Linked DNA regions of Ovis aries. The protein of the gene in region 1 purifies or fractionates together with the protein of each later gene. This does not show direct contact. Links are inferred from orthologs where the notes say so. Each region holds a gene or a part of one and is shown in the gene's direction. Other genes may lie near its edges. The genes, in order: LMNA, histone H2AX, HNRNPM and KPNA6.

The links.
Region 2: the proteins of LMNA (region 1) and histone H2AX purify together in Homo sapiens (affinity purification with mass spectrometry; 3 studies listed by BioGRID and IntAct, with this or other methods). This does not show direct contact. The link is inferred for Ovis aries from reciprocal best matches to the Homo sapiens genes LMNA and H2AX.
Region 3: the proteins of LMNA (region 1) and HNRNPM fractionate together in Homo sapiens (co-fractionation; 3 studies listed by BioGRID, with this or other methods). This does not show direct contact. The link is inferred for Ovis aries from reciprocal best matches to the Homo sapiens genes LMNA and HNRNPM.
Region 4: the proteins of LMNA (region 1) and KPNA6 purify together in Homo sapiens (affinity purification with mass spectrometry; 4 studies listed by BioGRID and IntAct, with this or other methods). This does not show direct contact. The link is inferred for Ovis aries from reciprocal best matches to the Homo sapiens genes LMNA and KPNA6.

The regions. Positions count from the first base shown.
Region 1 is NC_056054.1:106,153,727-106,157,711, forward strand, and holds the end of LMNA (lamin), read left to right. Parts: intron 1-81; coding exon 82-201; intron 202-592; coding exon 593-682; intron 683-1,464; coding exon 1,465-1,737; intron 1,738-2,023; coding exon 2,024-2,050; 3' UTR 2,051-2,947; downstream 2,948-3,985.
Region 2 is NC_056068.1:29,402,013-29,406,154, reverse strand, and holds histone H2AX, read left to right. Parts: upstream 1-1,517; 5' UTR 1,518-1,590; coding exon 1,591-2,022; 3' UTR 2,023-2,826; downstream 2,827-4,142. Other genes in the region: DPAGT1 (UDP-N-acetylglucosamine--dolichyl-phosphate N-acetylglucosaminephosphotransferase), read left to right, coding at 1-154, 238-303; HMBS (porphobilinogen deaminase), read right to left, coding at 3,439-3,729, 3,863-3,916. UniProt on the Homo sapiens protein: Variant histone H2A which replaces conventional H2A in a subset of nucleosomes. Nucleosomes wrap and compact DNA into chromatin, limiting DNA accessibility to the cellular machineries which require DNA as a template.
Region 3 is NC_056058.1:14,825,550-14,830,178, forward strand, and holds part of HNRNPM (heterogeneous nuclear ribonucleoprotein M), read left to right. Parts: coding exon 1-36; intron 37-2,208; coding exon 2,209-2,310; intron 2,311-3,753; coding exon 3,754-3,798; intron 3,799-4,258; coding exon 4,259-4,336; intron 4,337-4,629. UniProt on the Homo sapiens protein: Pre-mRNA binding protein in vivo, binds avidly to poly(G) and poly(U) RNA homopolymers in vitro. Involved in splicing.
Region 4 is NC_056055.1:235,357,108-235,361,736, reverse strand, and holds part of KPNA6 (importin subunit alpha-7), read left to right. Parts: intron 1-77; coding exon 78-241; intron 242-409; coding exon 410-488; intron 489-2,149; coding exon 2,150-2,275; intron 2,276-2,590; coding exon 2,591-2,718; intron 2,719-4,217; coding exon 4,218-4,396; intron 4,397-4,629. UniProt on the Homo sapiens protein: Functions in nuclear protein import as an adapter protein for nuclear receptor KPNB1. Binds specifically and directly to substrates containing either a simple or bipartite NLS motif.

The DNA.
Region 1 (3,985 bases):
CCTCGGGTGGGGATGGGCTGGCCTGAGGCTGGGTGTGCTGGAGCGTGAGTGCCCTTCTCTAATGAATTCTCCATCCCCCAGATCTGGGCTGCAGGAGCTGGGGCCACCCACAGCCCCCCTACCGACCTGGTGTGGAAGGCGCAGAACACCTGGGGCTGCGGAAACAGCCTGCGCACAGCTCTCATCAACTCCACTGGGGAAGTGAGTGTGCTGCAGGCTGGCCTCTCACTGGACAAGGCTTCCCCCGCAGCCAGAGTCGGAGGCAGCTGCCCCCAGGCCAATTCAGGGCCGCTTTCTCCCAGGGCCCAAACTCTCCACCCAGAGATAGCTCCCCTTGCAGCAGGAGGGGTGGGGGTTAGACAGTGAGCATGGTTAAGGGCAGATCATGCTCCTATCCAGAGACCTGGACAGCACGTCCCTGGAGTAGAAACAAGTGTCTTACCTCCAGCGCCCCGGAGGACAGAGCAAGTGGCAGCCTGGACGGGGGGCAGAGCGCGAGCAGGCTCCTGGAGGTCACTGGGGTGGGTATGCTGCACACCCTTTCTCCGACCTGCAGCCCCTAACCCTCAGCCTTGTCCTGTGTCCGCGGCAGGAGGTGGCCATGCGCAAGCTGGTGCGCTCAGTGACCGTGGTCGAGGACGACGACGATGAGGATGGAGACGATCTGCTCCATCACCACCACGTGAGTGGCAGCCGCCGCTGAGGCCCAGCCCACGCCAGGGCACCCAGCCCGGCCTGGGGACACCCTCTCCCTGGCCTCCCCCTGCCAAAAAATCTTTTCATTAAAGAACATTTTGGAACTTCACTCGCTGCCCTGGCTTTTCTTCTCTCTCCTCCCTATACCTTGAACAGGGAACCCAGGTGTCTGGGTGCCCTACTCTGGTAAGGAAGGGAGCGGGAACTTCTGATGCCACGGAGTCTTCCCATGGGAGCGGTGGACAAGAGTCCGGATTTATCCCCCGGGCGGGGAAGGGAGGACAGACGCGGGGCACGCAGCCCTGCCTCTCTCCGCCCACACTTCTCTCGCTTGCATCTCCTTTCTTGTCTCCTCCTCATCCTGGTCACGTGCATGGCCTCTCGTTTTCCCCATTTTTCCTGGGAGAAGGGTCTCTTGCACCTACCCTCCTCCCAATTAATTTTGCATGCCTGCCGCTCTACAAGCTTGCTGACTCTCTCTCCTTTCCCTCTGAAGCTTAGAGTAGCTAAGACAAGAGTCAAAGCCTGGCTCCCGTCCCCTGCCTGTCCCCAAGTCTTCCTGACCCTTCCTCCTGTCATGTCCTTCCCTTCCCCTCTTCCCAGCCCAGGCTCCCCACCCCAAGCCCTATACCACCCACCAGTTAGGTTACTTAGGCGCAGAAGCCCACCTTTCTGCCTGGACCCTGCCGGAGCGCGGAGCCTGGGTGTTGGGCCTGAGCGGTCAGTCCCAGACTCGCCGTCCGGCCTGAGCCTTGTCTCCCTCCTCAGGGCTCCCACGCAGGCAGCAGCTCGGGGGACCCCGCCGAGTACAACCTGCGCTCGCGCACCGTGCTGTGCGGGACTTGCGGGCAGCCCGCAGACAAGGCGCCTGCCAGCGGCTCGGGAGCCCAGGTGGGCGGATCCATCTCCTCTGGCTCCTCCGCCTCCAGTGTTACAGTCACTCGCAGCTACCGAAGTGTGGGGGGCAGTGGGGGTGGCAGCTTCGGGGACAGCCTGGTCACCCGCTCCTACCTCCTGGGCAACTCCAGACCCCGAACCCAGGTGAGTCGGCCCTCTGTCTCCAACCCCCGGCGGGCAGAGGACCCTAGTCCTCCAGGGTTAGGGCCAGGCTGCCCTGTGGGAGGGAGAGCCTTCTCTTCCGCAGCCCGGGGGAGTGGGAGCCTCCTCCCCGCAGCCCAAGATCCTAGAGAGCGGCTGCTGCTCCTGCGTCCTGCCCCTCCTGTCTGAGCCCCAGATTGGAGGGCAGGGGCGGGGCTGGGTTAAGAGGGGAAGGGAGGGTTGGCCAAGCACTGCCACTCACGCCGCTTCCCTCTCTCCTCTCTTTTAGAGCCCCCAGAACTGCAGCATCATGTAACCTGGGACCTGCCAGGCAGGGGTGGGGGCGGAGGCCCATGCTTCTTCCTCACCTCATGCCCACCCCTGCCCTGCGCCTCACGGGAAGGGGTTCGAAGCCAAAGAAAAATACCCCTTTATTTTTTCTTCTATGTTTTGTTTTTTGTTTTTCTAAGAGAAGTTATTTTCTACAGTGGTTTTATACCGAAGGAAAAACATAAGCCAAAAAACCCCGCGCGCATCTCTCTCAATTCCCCCCCTTTTCTCCCTGCTTCCGAGAAACTCCGTATCTGCCTTAAAACCAAAGAGGGAGCCGAGGAGAGGGGATGCTTTTACAAAGCCTCGTTTCTGCTTTTCTGCCCTGCCCGCCACCCCCATCCCGGGGACCCCGTGACATGGTGCCTGAGAGGCAGGTGTGGAGTCTGCTCTGCCAGCCTCCAAGGGAGGAGGGCTGAGCCTCGCCCCTGGGCCAGCCCCCATCGTTCCACTACCCCCCGCAGAGGCTCCTCCGCCTGCCCGCCCCCGCCCCCCCTCTCCCCAGCCCCGGGGTGACTCGATTCTCCCAGGTCCCAGCTGCGTTTGCTTCTTCTGTATGTTATTTAGACAAGAGATGGGAATGAGGCGGGAGGTAGAAAGGTAGAATAAGGTTAGTCTGAGCCTGCCTTCACCTAGCTTTAGAGCCAGGGGTGGGCTCTGCCCAGTCACTGGAGGTCGATCAAGGTCACGTGGGTGTAGGGGAGGAGGGAGAGGGAGGCCTACTAGGAAAGGGGAGAGCCTGCTGGGGCCCCACCGAAGGGGAGGAAGGGGAGGAGGTGTGGAGGGCTTGCGGCAGTGGGTTTCGGCAAACACTAAGGAGCCCCTTGCCTCCCGTTTCCCATCTGCACCACTTCTCCCTGAATCAATACACTAGTTGTTTCTATCCCTGGCTGCCGTGGTGTCTTTGTTGGTGGGTGTCCTTGTGTGTTTTCTGAGGGTCCCATACACATGTCACTCGGTCACCTGCATCGTCACGCCGCCCAGCCTCCCCCTTGCTCTAGGGAGACAAAGACCGCAGAGCTTCAGGTGCACAGCTGGGCACCCAGCAGTGGCTGCTGGGGAGACGCTCTGACATGAGCATTGCCCACCCAGTGCAGGGCTGTCTCCATGAGTCCCGCAGAGAGGCAGAGCCTGAGGGCAAGCATTTCCTTCCTGACTTCCTTCAGCCAGCACTTAGCGAGAAGCTTCTTTGTGCTAGACCCTGAGCTCAGCATGAATACCAAGACACATGATGATACAGACCCAGTCTGAGGACGGGTGACTGTCTCAGGACCCGGGGCAAGGGCAGATGGGGAGGAGGGAGTTAGCAGGAAAGGGGCAGGACTGACTTTGCAAGCACGCAGTTAATGTCCGTCTGCGCAAGACTGTGCTCACCTCGGAGACAGGGAGATGGACAAGACCGTGTACTCAGTGTTCTCAGGGATCTTACACTCCAGTGGACTGCTGGGGACAAAGGTATAGGTCAGGTGGAGTCGGAGCCTCAGGGGGAGGCCTCTAATGTAGGGGAATGGGGAAACCAGACTGAGGGAAAGGACCTCAAGCAGGGAAAATGAGCTACAGGGACCAACCCTTCTCTGGCCCTTTATAGGTTCCAAAGCATCTCTGTGCTATTTCATTTGACCCTCTGCTGTCTTGACAGGTGGTTATTGTCCCCTTTGTCCCTGGAAATGGGGGCTCAGAGTTAACAAGACCACACAGTTACTAGATGGCAGAGAGAACCCAGGGTCCTGGCTGCAGACCCCTGCTTCTGTGACATTATGCTCCCTTCTGGGAAAACAAAACAAAACAGTGATGGTAAAATATAAGTTTGCGTTCCCTGTGGCAGATGAGTTGAGCCTGCAGTCAAAAGTTGTGAGAAAAAGAGCATGCCTGGGGCTGTGGGAAAAAGAATTGGAGAAAGCAAAATGAATGAGATCAGAAA
Region 2 (4,142 bases), on another chromosome or scaffold:
AGCAGAGAACCTTGGGCTACTGACGGTGCGCCACAGTGAGAATGAGGATGGTGCCTTCACTGAATGTAACAACATGACCCTCATCAACTTGCTACTTAAAGTCTTTGGGCCCATGCATGAGAGAAACCTCACCCTCTTCCTGCTGCTGCTACAGGTGCAATGCTATTGGGGGTGTGGTTTACACTTCCTTGTCTCCCTCTCTCCAGGGTTCTTACTATAGTTCGTTTCTCCTTGCAGGTCGTTGGTAGTGCTGTCACCTTCTCCATTCGGTACCAGCTTGTCCGACTCTTCTATGATGTCTGAGGCCCCGATCCATTGCCCTTTGCTTCACAGCCTCCGGGGTTACTGACTCAGGCCAACATCTCCTGGACCAAGACTGCCAACTAGCCCAGGCCTCTCCCACCCTTCATTTTCCTCCAGATTTTGTTCTCAGCATTTCCTTTCCCCTGTGATTATTGACACGTGGGCCTGTCTCACTCTCTAATGACTGGTGATTGGACTTTGCCTATGGCTTTCTTCAGCTTGCCACTCTCCCTCTCCATCCCATCTTTGCTGCCTCCTAAGTTGGGGTACTGTAGCTTTTATGCAATTGCCCACAACTCTGACACTCAAGGAGAATGCTGGACTTGGGGACAGAACCCTGGCTGGGGATAGAGACACAGGTTCAAAGGTGACTTGACATTTGACTATAAATTAAGTATTCTGATGATTAAGAGCAGACCGGGGGCCAGGTGCTCCCAGTGGTGACAATAAAGTATTGTCTTTTTCTTCTTGTTCCTATAGGTATATTTCCTATGTGGGCATTGTAGGGTGGATGGGGAAGGTTGAAGGAGGTATTTCCTCGGAGAGGATGCCTATCTCTGTCCCATCCTTTTTTCTTTCTTTCTTTTTTTTTAAGCACATCAGGCGCCTCCTAGCAAGAAGTGATCAGAAAGAACAGACCAGACAGAACATGTTGAATAAATGTGAAATCTGCTGCTTGGGTGGCATAAAGGGCCATAAGATTGGGGTTATCTGTTCTCTGGGGTAGGGTTGGACTTTAAGTGGGGGTCTCATTCCTTCCCTTTTTCACTCTTCTTTTGCCAGGTAGGAGGAGGGAGTGACCAGACCTAGGACGGGAGGCAGAGGTAGTTGTGGTGTTGACTCTTTTCCTTTAAAAATCTTAGGCCTGCCTTGCGCAGACTTCCCAGACGCTCTTGAGGTGGCTTCCGATTCTACCCTTCTTGTCTTCCGGTTCTGGTCTCGGGCTATAGCGTTTAAATCTGGCGCGCTTCACTTGGATTGGCTACAGCCGAGACTGGCTGGCTGTCGGGTAGTCTCTGCGCCTCCTCCCGTGTTCCCCGGGCAAAGGGTTTTCAAATTCGGCCAATCGGCGGACGCGTTCCCTCAACTGGGGCGCGTCACCGAAGAGTTAACCTCAGCCAACCAGAGGCGGGTATTCGAGAAAAGAGCCAATCAGAAAGGCGCGGGGGTGTGCCCTGAGGGGCTTATAAGGGCAGCCCGTGGTCGCGCGCGGAAGCGTTAGACTGCGGCGGGTGGTTGTTCCTGTGTTTTGTTAGCCGTCCTCACCGCTCCTCTACCTCATACAGCATGTCTGGCCGCGGCAAGACCGGCGGCAAGGCCCGCGCCAAGGCCAAGTCGCGCTCTTCGCGAGCAGGCCTCCAGTTTCCCGTGGGCCGCGTGCACCGGCTGCTGCGGAAGGGCCACTACGCCGAGAGGGTGGGCGCCGGCGCGCCGGTCTACCTGGCGGCGGTACTCGAGTACCTCACCGCCGAGATCCTGGAGCTGGCGGGCAACGCGGCTCGCGACAACAAGAAGACGCGGATAATCCCCCGCCACCTGCAGCTGGCCATCCGCAACGACGAGGAGCTCAACAAGCTGCTGGGCGGCGTGACGATCGCCCAGGGAGGCGTCCTGCCCAACATCCAGGCCGTGCTGCTGCCTAAGAAGACCAGCGCCACCGTGGGGCCGAAGGCGCCAGCGGGCGGCAAGAAGGCCACCCAGGCCTCTCAGGAGTACTGAGGGCGCCCGTGCCGCCACCGCCCAGCCCTCCCCTCTACACCACAAAGGCCCTTTTAAGGGCCACCACAGCACTCACAGAAAGAGCTGGGCCACTTCGGGCTCCCGGCCTGGCGGCCGCGCTGTCGCCCCTTCCCGGCCCGCCCCTCCCCCCCGCGGCTGGCTCCCGCCGAAGCCCGGCGGAGGGCGTGCGTTCGAACGCCGCTCGGCCCCGGGAGCGAGCTCGTGACTCGGCCGGCTTGGCCCCAGAATGCCGATGGGCTGCGGGGAGGCCGCGGCACCTTCCGGAAAGCCGGGCCGGGGAGTGCGGGAGGAAGGTGAGTCGGTGCGGACGGTCGCCGCCGAGGCCGTGCGCTCTGCTTCAGCTCGGTGCTTAGTACAGGACTCGATTGTCGCCGCCGGCGGAGTCAATCGGTTGCTTCATTTCGTCCCAGGACCCCTTTTGTTGCCGGATCTCGGGCCTCGCACGTCCGCGTTCCCTCCATCTTCATTCGCAGGCCTGTGCGCGTACTGGAAGAAACCCTTCGCGGCGTGACCGTCTCCAATACTAGCGGGTCCTGGCGGCGTGGGGTCTGCGGGAGCCCTGCCTCCGGGCCCGCCCCTCCTCCCCACTCCCTTCCCGTCGGGTCCATTCCGCCTGCCAAGCACCTAGATACCAGCACAAGTCCGTTAATCCCCGTCTGGACTGAGCCGCCTTTGGCTTCGGAACTGGAATTTTGCAGCTAACCCATCCAAAACTAGTACTTTAGGTATTGGGGGGAGTTTCAGATGGACTAATTTTATTAAAGGGTTTTTTCCTAAAGAAAAGTGAGTTGTGTTCATTTTGCAAAAGGGTTGTAGAGTCGACTCTGTAGATACCTAAAGGTAGTGGGGGAGGGGAACCGATATAAGGCTTTACTGTTAACTGGAGCGACAAATTGTAGATTATTAAGATGATGGCTTTCTTGGCGTTCCCTGGGAGACACTCGATTCTGTCAAAAAATGGGAACTACTGACAGAAGGCGTTTTTCAGGAGAACTTTGAAAGGGTCCTAGCCTCAGAGATCAGGCATAAATAAAGAGTTTTGAGTTTGTCCTTCCTTTTCTGCAGCTCCACCAAAAACAAAAACCACCTTTAAATTTGGTTTATTAGTAGAACTGGTTACATTCAAAGGCTGTGGCTTCTTATTAAGATTTTTTTTTTCTCTAGAGAGGAAGCCCCCTCCTTGCCTCCTGGGGAGGCAAGGCCCCTCGGTGAGACAAGTCTCTGGAAGTCTCTGCCCCTGCAGTTCAATCCTGTGGGGGTAGCCACTCCTCAGGTAGCAGAGGGCTGGGATGTAGGCACTGGACACCAGCAAGGCAGGCACCTGTGCCCCACAGACCAATTAGTGGGCTTCATTGAGCTGCCGTGCAACATCCAAGATATTCTTGGCTCCTTTGTTCAGCAACAACGTGGCCAGGCTGATGCCCAGGTTCTCAGCAGCCAGCTGGGGTTGTCGTGGAATGTTCCGGGCAGTGATGCCCACCAGCTGTGGATCATCTTCAGGGCCATCTTCATGCTGGGCAAAGGAAGAAGGGTTGGATTTAGTGAGAAGGAGAGGGGAGGTAACAAAGATGTGTTTCCTCCCCCCTGCAGCCTTGGCACCTGGACAGGGACATGGATGGTGGTTTGCATGGTGTCTTGCATGGTCTCTGCGCCATTCAGACTCCAGACTCCTCCAGTCAGGTACAGCTGGGAAAGAAAATGGCTGCCTCAGTAAACTGTAAGAGAACTGCTTAGAAACCTGTGCTCTTCATGCTGGTGGATACACAGGGGAAACGCCAGAGTTCCTTCCCTGCCCTCCCATCCATCTCCCCCTGCTTACTTGCCCATCCTTAATAGCTGTATGCACTGCCACTGGCACACTGCAGCCTCCTTCCTGCAACAAGTTCTCCCTGTTAGCTTAAGACCCTTATCACCACCCTGTAACCAGAGCCCACAGAGACAGACAGACCCCTGCCAAGGATATAACGGAAAATGAGGCAGGGGCCCAGACCTGGGTCCTGTCCATTCTTAAAAGAATGAGTTAGGGCTAAATACACAGCAGGAGAAATCTCCCCATTACCCTTCCTAATATCCACCCCTCCACAGGAGCACAGGTCCTA
Region 3 (4,629 bases), on another chromosome or scaffold:
ATTTTTTCCCTCCTGAGCGTCCACAGCAACTTCCCCGTAAGTGTCTCAATTATTTATGGCTACAATTTTGAATTTAATGTTTTATAACCAGAAAATTACAATTACCTTTGAAGTTGGGATGTCAGTCTTCAGTTATCTAGACTGTTCTTGAGCAAAAGATTCAAAAAGATTATTTTCCTTATAAATTTTTTTGGGGTGAAAAATGAGCAGAGAGACAACGTAGGAAGGGTTGTTAGGATTACATTGCGGTGAGGCAGGCTGCCCAGGACACAGAAGGTGTAGCTGGGAAAAAACAAACTGCAAAAAAATGAAAGCCAGCTTGCACTTGGGTTCAGAAGAGATTGGTTATTACCATATGGCCCAGCAGTCCCACTCTTAGGTATACACTACAAGAGAGCTGAAACCTGATACCCACACAGAAACCTGTACACAGATGTTCATGGCTGCATGGTTTCAGCTGATGAATGGGTGAATAAAACATGGTAAATCTAGACAGTGGACTGTTAGCCGTAAAAAAGAAGTACTGGTAACGTGCTACAGTATGGATGAACTTTGATTCTGTCTATTGGAAATGTCTAGAACAGGCGAGTTCATAAGACAGGTGGATTGTGATTGCCAGGGCCTGGAGAAAGGGTGAAGTTTATGGTGTGTGAAGTATAACAGTCAGAATTTTTATATAGGGTCATTTGTGACATCCAGGTGAAAGTCCATCCTGGGGCAGGGAAGGCATAGGTAGGAAGAGCGGGTAATAGTGAAGTCTTCCCGGGCAGGCCCACAGAAGGGCAGGGAGCCTGAGCACGGGAGCAGTGGAGGGGAGGGACTGTGGTAGCATGAGGGGCCGTGTGTCAGCAGGGCATGCAGGGCTGACCTGTGGAAGGCAGACTGAGGGTAGGGAGAGGGCAAGACTAGTTGGTGTCTCTTGAGAGAGGACTTTTCCTCACGTGAGGCTGTGGGGTCGAGGTGTCTGAAGGGCCGGCCAGGGCCGCCTCCTGTCTAGAGCAGTGGCTTATGCCTAACGCTTAGCCATCAGAGGTTGAATTGAATGGGAACCTAGACTAGCTTACTAATTCTTGTTTGCAGAAGCATAGTAGAGACAGATTTTTGAGGGGAAGTCCATGTTTCACGAATATAAGATGGGTTATCTGTTGAAAGTTAGCATTTAGAGATGGACCCCATTTCCTTGTCATAATCTGTGTGGTCTCTTATGGTAATTACCAGGAACAGGGTGCTGGCTCTTGTTGATTTTGTGCCTAGATCAGGGGGTGAGGGCTGCTTGGCAGCCAGACTGGCACCCTGGGCTCCAGGGAGCCCATTATCTGTGGCTTTTGGTTTCCCCAGAAAATCTCAGGGTTGACTTCAGTGCTTTGGGGAGTAAGTAACCTTGGTGAGCTCTTGCTGCTGTTTACGTGCAGTTTCAGAACATGGTTTTTATCAGATTAAAAATTGGAGAACTGTTGTTTTTTGTTTTGTTTTGTCAGTGTTTTTTTTTTAAGTGGACTTTGTTCCTATTTTTAAAAATCTCACCTGGTCTTAGCCTCCAACCATGATCACCCAGAGCATTGCAAGTATACTCTCAGGCCTTGTTGGCTGTTTTGAGATCAGCCTGTATTCTGTGGGTAGGGTACGATTCTTGGCTTAGGAAGCTTTCGGGTTCCTTGGATACACTAGCTTCATTACTCAAACCATCTGCAGCAGAGTCAGAGAATAGCCCAAGTCCAGTGTGTTAATTGGCTGATTTATCACATTGTTTTTCCGGAGAAAAGTCCTTTGGGTCACCAGGTTGAGAGATGAGGGTTGAGCGTATTTGTGCTGCTTGCTTTGTGAGGTCTCCAGTTGCCTTTTCTGATTAAACATTTCTCATTACACTATTCAGGGAAACAAGTAGGGGCTCACAACTTGTCACTGTGTGGGTTGTTGTTCACAGATCTTCTCTGTAGTTTTCATGTGAACTGATTTTTAGTTGCGCTCGTTTTATATAGATCACACATTCAGTCCCTGTTGTTCTAGGAGAGCTTATGCCTTTAAAGGGAGAGCTCCCAAATGCGTCAATGTTGCATCATGGATTAGGCCCTGGACTTGGTGGAGCAGATGGGTGGTGGGGCAAGTGTGACAGCTACTACACAGTAAACAAAGGGTCTTTTTAACTTTTAGGGTCAGGGCTTCCTATGGAAGTAGAATCAATACTCTGACTTTCTCATTTCCTTTCAGATGGACTTGGTGGTATTGGCATGGGGTTAGGACCAGGAGGGCAGCCTATTGATGCCAACCATTTGAATAAAGGCATTGGAATGGGCAACCTGGGACCTGCAGGTGAGAAGTACAGTGTGCCTCTTGACTGGGGATTTCTGGGGAAGTTAGTTATCTTAATAATAATTTTTGGGATGATTGGACATTGAGTAGTTCAAGTGGAATGAGGCTCATATTGGGACAAAATTAATTCCTTCCTTATTTATTTGTGATTCATTTTAATTGGGCTTCCCTGGTGACTCTGATGGTAAAGAATCCGCCTGCAGTGCAGGAGACATGGGTTCGATCCCTGGGTCGGGAAGATTCCTGGAGAAGAAAGTGGCAACCCACTCCAGTATTCTTGCCTAAAGAATTTCATGGACAGAGGAGCCTGGAGGGTCACAAGAAGTCAGACACGACTGAGCGACTAACTAATGTTTTGATTAAGGCAGTATTTTGGATTTTTACCAAGTGACTACTTCTTTCTAAAGCTTTTGTGCTTTGCATTTTATCCTCACAAGTACTTCTGAGCTGAGATACTCAGTTAAGCCTTTGGATAAGAGGAGGCAAGCCAGAGAGATGGTCTTGCTCAAGGTCACACTATCAGTTAGTGACAGAAATTCCTGATCTTGGGACCACCTCACTGCCACCGTCTATCACCCAGAGGCCTGTGGGCTGTCACCTGGTGTTTACAGGGCTTCTTGAGGCAGGGGCATTGTCAGATGCAGAAAGATACGGAGGGCCTCGTCGCATGACTACATAGCTCTCCTAGGCCTGTTTAAGAAGAAAAGCAATAGCTAACGAATAAAGCTTTGACATGTAGAATGAACTTTGAACTTCACTTTTTGGTGTTTTCGTGCAGTGAGGCATTCATATATAATTTAAATATACTGCGTTTTTATGGCCTCAGACTTAGGTTTTGCTTGCAGTTCTTTGAATTGCAAGATGGATACCCTTAACCCTACTACGGTCAGTTCTGCTTTTCCTTTGTCTCCCTCCCAGATTAGGCTCTGGGGCTGATGAAAGAGTTTAAGGTGCCTTTACTGATCTGAACACCACATCCCCTGACCTGACACCTCAGAGGAAAGTCTAGGGTTGAGGAGAGGGAAGCCTCAGTGTTTTTAGGAACTGCTCTTTTTTTAGAGAATTTTACCTTTAAAGGAGATTTTTGAATCTACTTCTGTTCCCTGAAGTAAGCTTCTAAAAAGTGAACGTGCCCTAGTCTCTTCCTAATACTTAACATTTCATGTCTAACTTGGTCATTTATTGAAACTCTGTGAACACTATCAGATTTTGAGTCACATGATGATTATGTAGTTAAAGGCATAAGTTGCTTCCTTGGAATGTACTAGTTTGTCAGTTGAAATAGAAGAGCCCCTACCCCATTTCCCCCCCCCCCCCCCTTGACAAGTAAAATATATTTGGAGTCAGGGATATTTTTTGATGTTTGGAATTTCTTGTGCTTTTTAAGTTCAAACATTACGGCTTTGACATAATTTTAGTTTGCATTGACTTTTTCTTTTTAAGGAATGGGAATGGAAGGCATAGGATTTGGAATAAATAAAATGGGAGGTAAGACAACTCAAATGAAATATGAATTTAACTACTTTTAGGTATGGTTTCCCCTCTTTTCTTCCCTTTTCCTTTTCTCTTAAGCCCTGCATGAAATTTTCACTTGGGTTTCCAAACAGTTTAAGTCTAGAGATTACTTTTACCCATTGATCTTTCTATTGGGCCACTTGGCTTTTGGTTCTGGCTTTTTCACTGACTAGCTCTGTGACCTTGGGCAAGTCACTCCATCTCTCTGGGTCTCTCTTTGCTTGTCTGTTCATTGACTGGATTGGATCAGATCAGCCTTTTGAAGATAGTGATTTTTAAGTAAGGGCTCTAGCCTTTTTTCTCCAAAAGCCCTTGAGACTTGGTAAGTTTCTGGCAGCACATGCCCTAGGTAACCTTGTGGAAACATTTTCTATTCCTGTTCACTTTTGAGTCTTGTTAGGCTGCTGCTAAAATGCAAATATGTCTCTTTCAGGCATGGAAGGACCCTTTGGTGGTGGTATGGAAAACATGGGTCGATTTGGATCTGGGATGAACATGGGCAGAATAAATGGTAAGATCTGTGTACCTATCTACCCTCTGCTGGCTGTTGGCTCTAGGTGACCTTTAGGCAGCAGACTGATTTTTGATAAGTGACTTCACCCTCCCACTTTTGTGCTGAATCTGATAACTTTGAGTTGCCTTAAATAATTTGTGTTCCAGAAGCTAGATTTAGTGGTAGGCAAGTGTTCATTTTCTCAGTTACTAAACTCTTGAGGTTTTCTGTTTCAGATCTTCCCAGTAATTGTCCAATAAAACTTTAAAAACTTTAAAGCATTCCTGTGGCCTCCAGCACTTGTCTTCCCT
Region 4 (4,629 bases), on another chromosome or scaffold:
TCGGACATGTTAGGGTTAGTGGTAGAGCTGATGTAACCCTGTCCCTCTATGAATCCCTCTCTCTCTGCTTCCAATAGGTCTCCCCCTGTTTGCCCGTGCTGTCTCGCCTACTCTTCAGCAGCGACTCAGACTTGCTGGCAGATGCTTGCTGGGCCCTCTCTTATCTATCTGATGGCCCCAATGAGAAGATCCAGGCAGTCATAGACTCTGGAGTCTGCCGGAGATTGGTCGAGCTTCTCATGTGAGTGATCCCAGTTAGAAAGGGTACAGATTCCAAGCTCAGAACTGCAGTTAGCAGTCTGCTGCCCTGTGCAAAGGTCTGGACCCATGAGTGCTACCGGCCTTGGTGGTCAGCAGAGCTGAAAGCTTGGTGCTGGCCCTCTACTGACCAGATCGCCCTCCTCTATAGGCACAACGATAACAAAGTGGCTTCTCCTGCTCTGAGAGCTGTGGGTAACATCGTCACTGGGGATGACATCCAGACCCAGGTAAGGAGGAGGAAGAGAGCTGTCTGTGGACAAATCCCTCCCTGCCGTAGACTTTAGTCCTGGTGGGGGGCAGTGTGATCTAGGAGAGAAAGCACAGGCTTGAAGGAAAAATTCCAACTCTGCCACTTTCTGTATGATTTGTGGGCAACTTGGTTGCCTTTATTTTTTCTATAAATTGGAAGCAAATCATTATCCATTGGGTGCTACTGAAGAAAAACTAAATGGAATAACTTGACTTACTACCTGGGACATGGTAAAGTCCCAGCTTTTCTGTTATGGTACCTTTGAAATACTTAAATCTTTGGAGCCTCACCCCTACTTTGTAACTAAACCTTTAGGATCCCATGGGTAACCTCATGTTAGTCCTCTGTTAGTAATACCTCCATAGAGGGTGCAGTATGCAAGGTTTTTCTATACACAGGCTGGAGAGCTGGTTATTCTTTTAAGTATAGTTCAATGGCATTAAGCGCATTCACATTGTTATTTAACCATCACAATCATCCATCTCCACAACTTTTGCGTCGTTCAGAACTGAAACTCTGTGCTCTTCAAATAATAAATTCCCGTTTCCCCCTCCCCTCATCCCCTGGTAACTACCACATTACTTTCTGTTTCTTGCGAGTTTGACTCCTCTAGAAACCTCACGTAAACCAAACCATATATATTTGTTCTTTTGTTTCAACTTAGTTCACTTAGCATGTTTTCGAAGCTCATCCCATGTTTTAGTAAGTCATACCTTCATTCCTTTCGGTGGCTCAATGATCTTCCTTGGCACACCTGTGCCACATTTGGTTTATTCATGCATCTGTTGATCAACATTTGGGTTGCTTTCACCTTTTGGCTAGTGTGAGTAATGTTGCATTGAATATTGGCATACAAATCTCTGTTTGAGTCCTTGTTTTCAGCTCTTTGGGATATACACCCAGAGGTGGAATTACTGGGTCATGGAGTAATTTTATATTTAAAGATTTTGGGGAACCACCATACTGTTTAGCACAATGGCTATACCATTTTACCTTCCCACCAGCAATGTACCAGGTTCCAGTTTCTCCACATCTTTACCAACAATTGTATTGCCTGGATTTTTTAAGAATAAAAATAATTTTATTTTTATAATAAATTTTAAATGTTATAAGTATTATAATAAATTTTATATATTATATATATATATAATCCCCTGGGATCTGGGGGTTAAGAACCCGCCTTCTAATGCAGGCGACTCGGGTTCAGTCCCTATTTGGGGAACTAAGATCCCACATGCTGTGGGGCAACTAAGCCTGCATGCTGCAGTGAAGACCCAGCACGGCCAGGAAAACAGAATAACTGTCCTATGAAGTGTGAAGCTGTATCTCACTGAGGTTTTGATTTGCATTTCCCTACTGATTAATGATGTCTGACATCTTTCATGTGCTTTGGGGCCCCCTGCCTGTTTTCTTTGGAAAAATGTCTGTTTATGTCCTTTGCCCATTTTAAACTATGTTCAGCTTTTTTTTTTTTAATGTAATCTGGATATTCATCTTTATCAGATATATAATTTCAATATACTTTCTCCCATTCTGTGACTTGTGTAATTCACTCTGTTGAAAGATGTCTTTCGGTACACAAAAGTTTTAAATTTTGATTAAGTCCAATTTATCTCAATTTGTCTTTTGGTGTTCTAGGTCATTCTTAACTGTTCAGCCCTCCCTTGCCTCCTCCACCTCCTGAGCAGCTCCAAGGAGTCAATCCGAAAGGAAGCTTGTTGGACCATTTCAAATATCACTGCTGGCAACAGGGCTCAGATACAGGTAAAACAAGCAGTTGGGAGATTGAGGAACGGTGGTAGAAAGGCCTGGGATCACGAGACTTTGTGGGATATTGCCTTCTAGACAAAAAAATTTCTCTTTTGAAATTGGGATCAGTGTCTGCTATTGGTCAAAGACTCTGTGGAGCAGAAGCCAGGTTCTTCTGCACCACCTTAGGTATATGGGAACGACAAAGGAGAACTTTGAGGAAGGGGAATGTGTCTAAATCTTAGCTGATTTGTGTTCTGGATTTGCTTATTCTCCTTGAAATGACTTTTTTCCCCCATATCCCACCCCCGAACCCCTAATTATTCTCAGGCTGTCATAGATGCAAACATCTTCCCTGTATTGATCGAAATCCTTCAGAAAGCAGAGTTCCGTACAAGGAAAGAAGCAGCCTGGGCCATCACCAATGCCACATCAGGAGGAACCCCTGAACAAATCAGGTACCACAGTCCTTCCCATTGTTTGAGTGACATGTTTACTCTACCTGTCAGCTTATGTTACATACAGTCTCTAAACTGCCTTTGCTGGGATAAGTCTACTGCTGTTCAGTAGGGTTTAACTGATAAGCTGCTAGAGTGTAGCCTCTTTTCCCTCCTTGAGAATGGACACTTAAGACAGACATTCATCTCTCCTCTGCCTCTTTCTACCCACAAGAGAATTTAAATCTATATAATTCACAATTACTCATACAAATGAAAGAGAACCATTCGATGGCTCATTCGGAGCAGTTTCCTTGAGAAATCATTTTTGACAATGATACTTGAGAGAAGTAAATAGGAAAGCTGTTTTGTGTGAAGATGTTCTCTGATTCTGCTTTCCATTATGAACTTGAGTTGGAGTGGTGGGAATTAGAAAAGTACCTTGCCTTCAGCTTGTAGCTTAGGAAGGGGGAGTATATTCAGTTCAGTCGCTCAGTCGTGTCCGACTCTTTGCGACCTCATGAATTGCAGCACGCCAGGCCTCCCTGTCCATCACCAACTCCCGGAGTTCACTCAAACTTACATCCATCAAGTCGGTGATGCCATCCTCGGTCGTCCCCTTTTCCTCCTGCTCCCAATCCCTCCCAGCATCAGAGTCTTTTCCAGTGAGTCAACTCTTTGCATGAGGTGGCCAAAGTACTGGAGTTTCAGCTTCAGCATCATTCCTTCCAAAAGAACACCCAGGGCTGATCTCTTTTAGAATGGACTGGTTGGATCTCCTTGCAGTCCAAGGGACTCTCAAGAGTCTTCTCCAACACCACAGTTCAAAAGCATCAATTCTTCAGCACTCAGCTTTCTTCACACTCCAACTCCCACATCCATACATGACCACTGGAAAACCATAGCCTTGACTAGACGGACCTTAGTCAGCAAAGTAATGTCTCTGCTTTTCAATATGCTGTCTAGGTTGGTCATAACTTTTCTTCCAGGGAGTATATTCAGCATATTATAAAACCTTAGGAGAAAAGGATAGCCACTGAGTTAAGCTTTTGAGGATATAGGGTTGTGAATGGCATTTGGACAGGAAAAGGCATAAGTAAAAGTACAAAAATCAGAAACCTAGAGACATTCACGTTTGGCTGGAATGTAATATTCTTGGAAGGGAATAATGTGAGATGAAGCTGAAAAAGCTTAGGAGCCTGATTGTATTGAGAGTAGAGCTTGGACTGTGAAAATTTTAAGCAGGGGAATGATGTTTCAGAGTAGGTAGTACTGTTGCAGGGACACATTACAGACCAGGAGGAGAAATCCGTGGCAGCCTTCTACATGGAAATGAACTAAACCAGTAGTATCGATGGAGTGGAGACTGAGATAAAGCCTGGGTGTTTATGAGGGCTCAGGCAGGGTGAATTGCTAAGAGCATTGATGTGTGTAAAGGAGACCCAGGGACCCCAGAGCACCGCCCTGGCACCTCCCTTATCTTGTCTTGATTTAGAACTTTCCTGGTCTCTGCCCTTCAGGTACCTGGTCTCCCTGGGCTGCATCAAACCCCTGTGCGACTTGCTGACTGTGATGGATTCAAAGATTGTGCAAGTGGCCCTCAATGGACTGGAGAACATCCTTCGGCTTGGAGAGCAAGAGGGCAAGCGCAGTGGCTCAGGGGTCAATCCCTACTGTGGCCTCATCGAGGAAGCCTATGGTATGTGCCCTCTCCCCAAACTAATGTCTGCCATAAGCAGAGTTCAGAACCATAAGTTCTAGTTCAGAACCTCTGAAGTAGTATATGTATGTGAGGGTGTATGGTCAGCATTGAATGCAAAGTTTTATCCCACAAGTTCCATTTCTTCTGAGGAGCAATAGATCAGTTCTCTTTCTGATGGGCTGTACCCAGTAAGTAGGTTATGGTACAGATGCAAAAATAAAGCTCCAGAA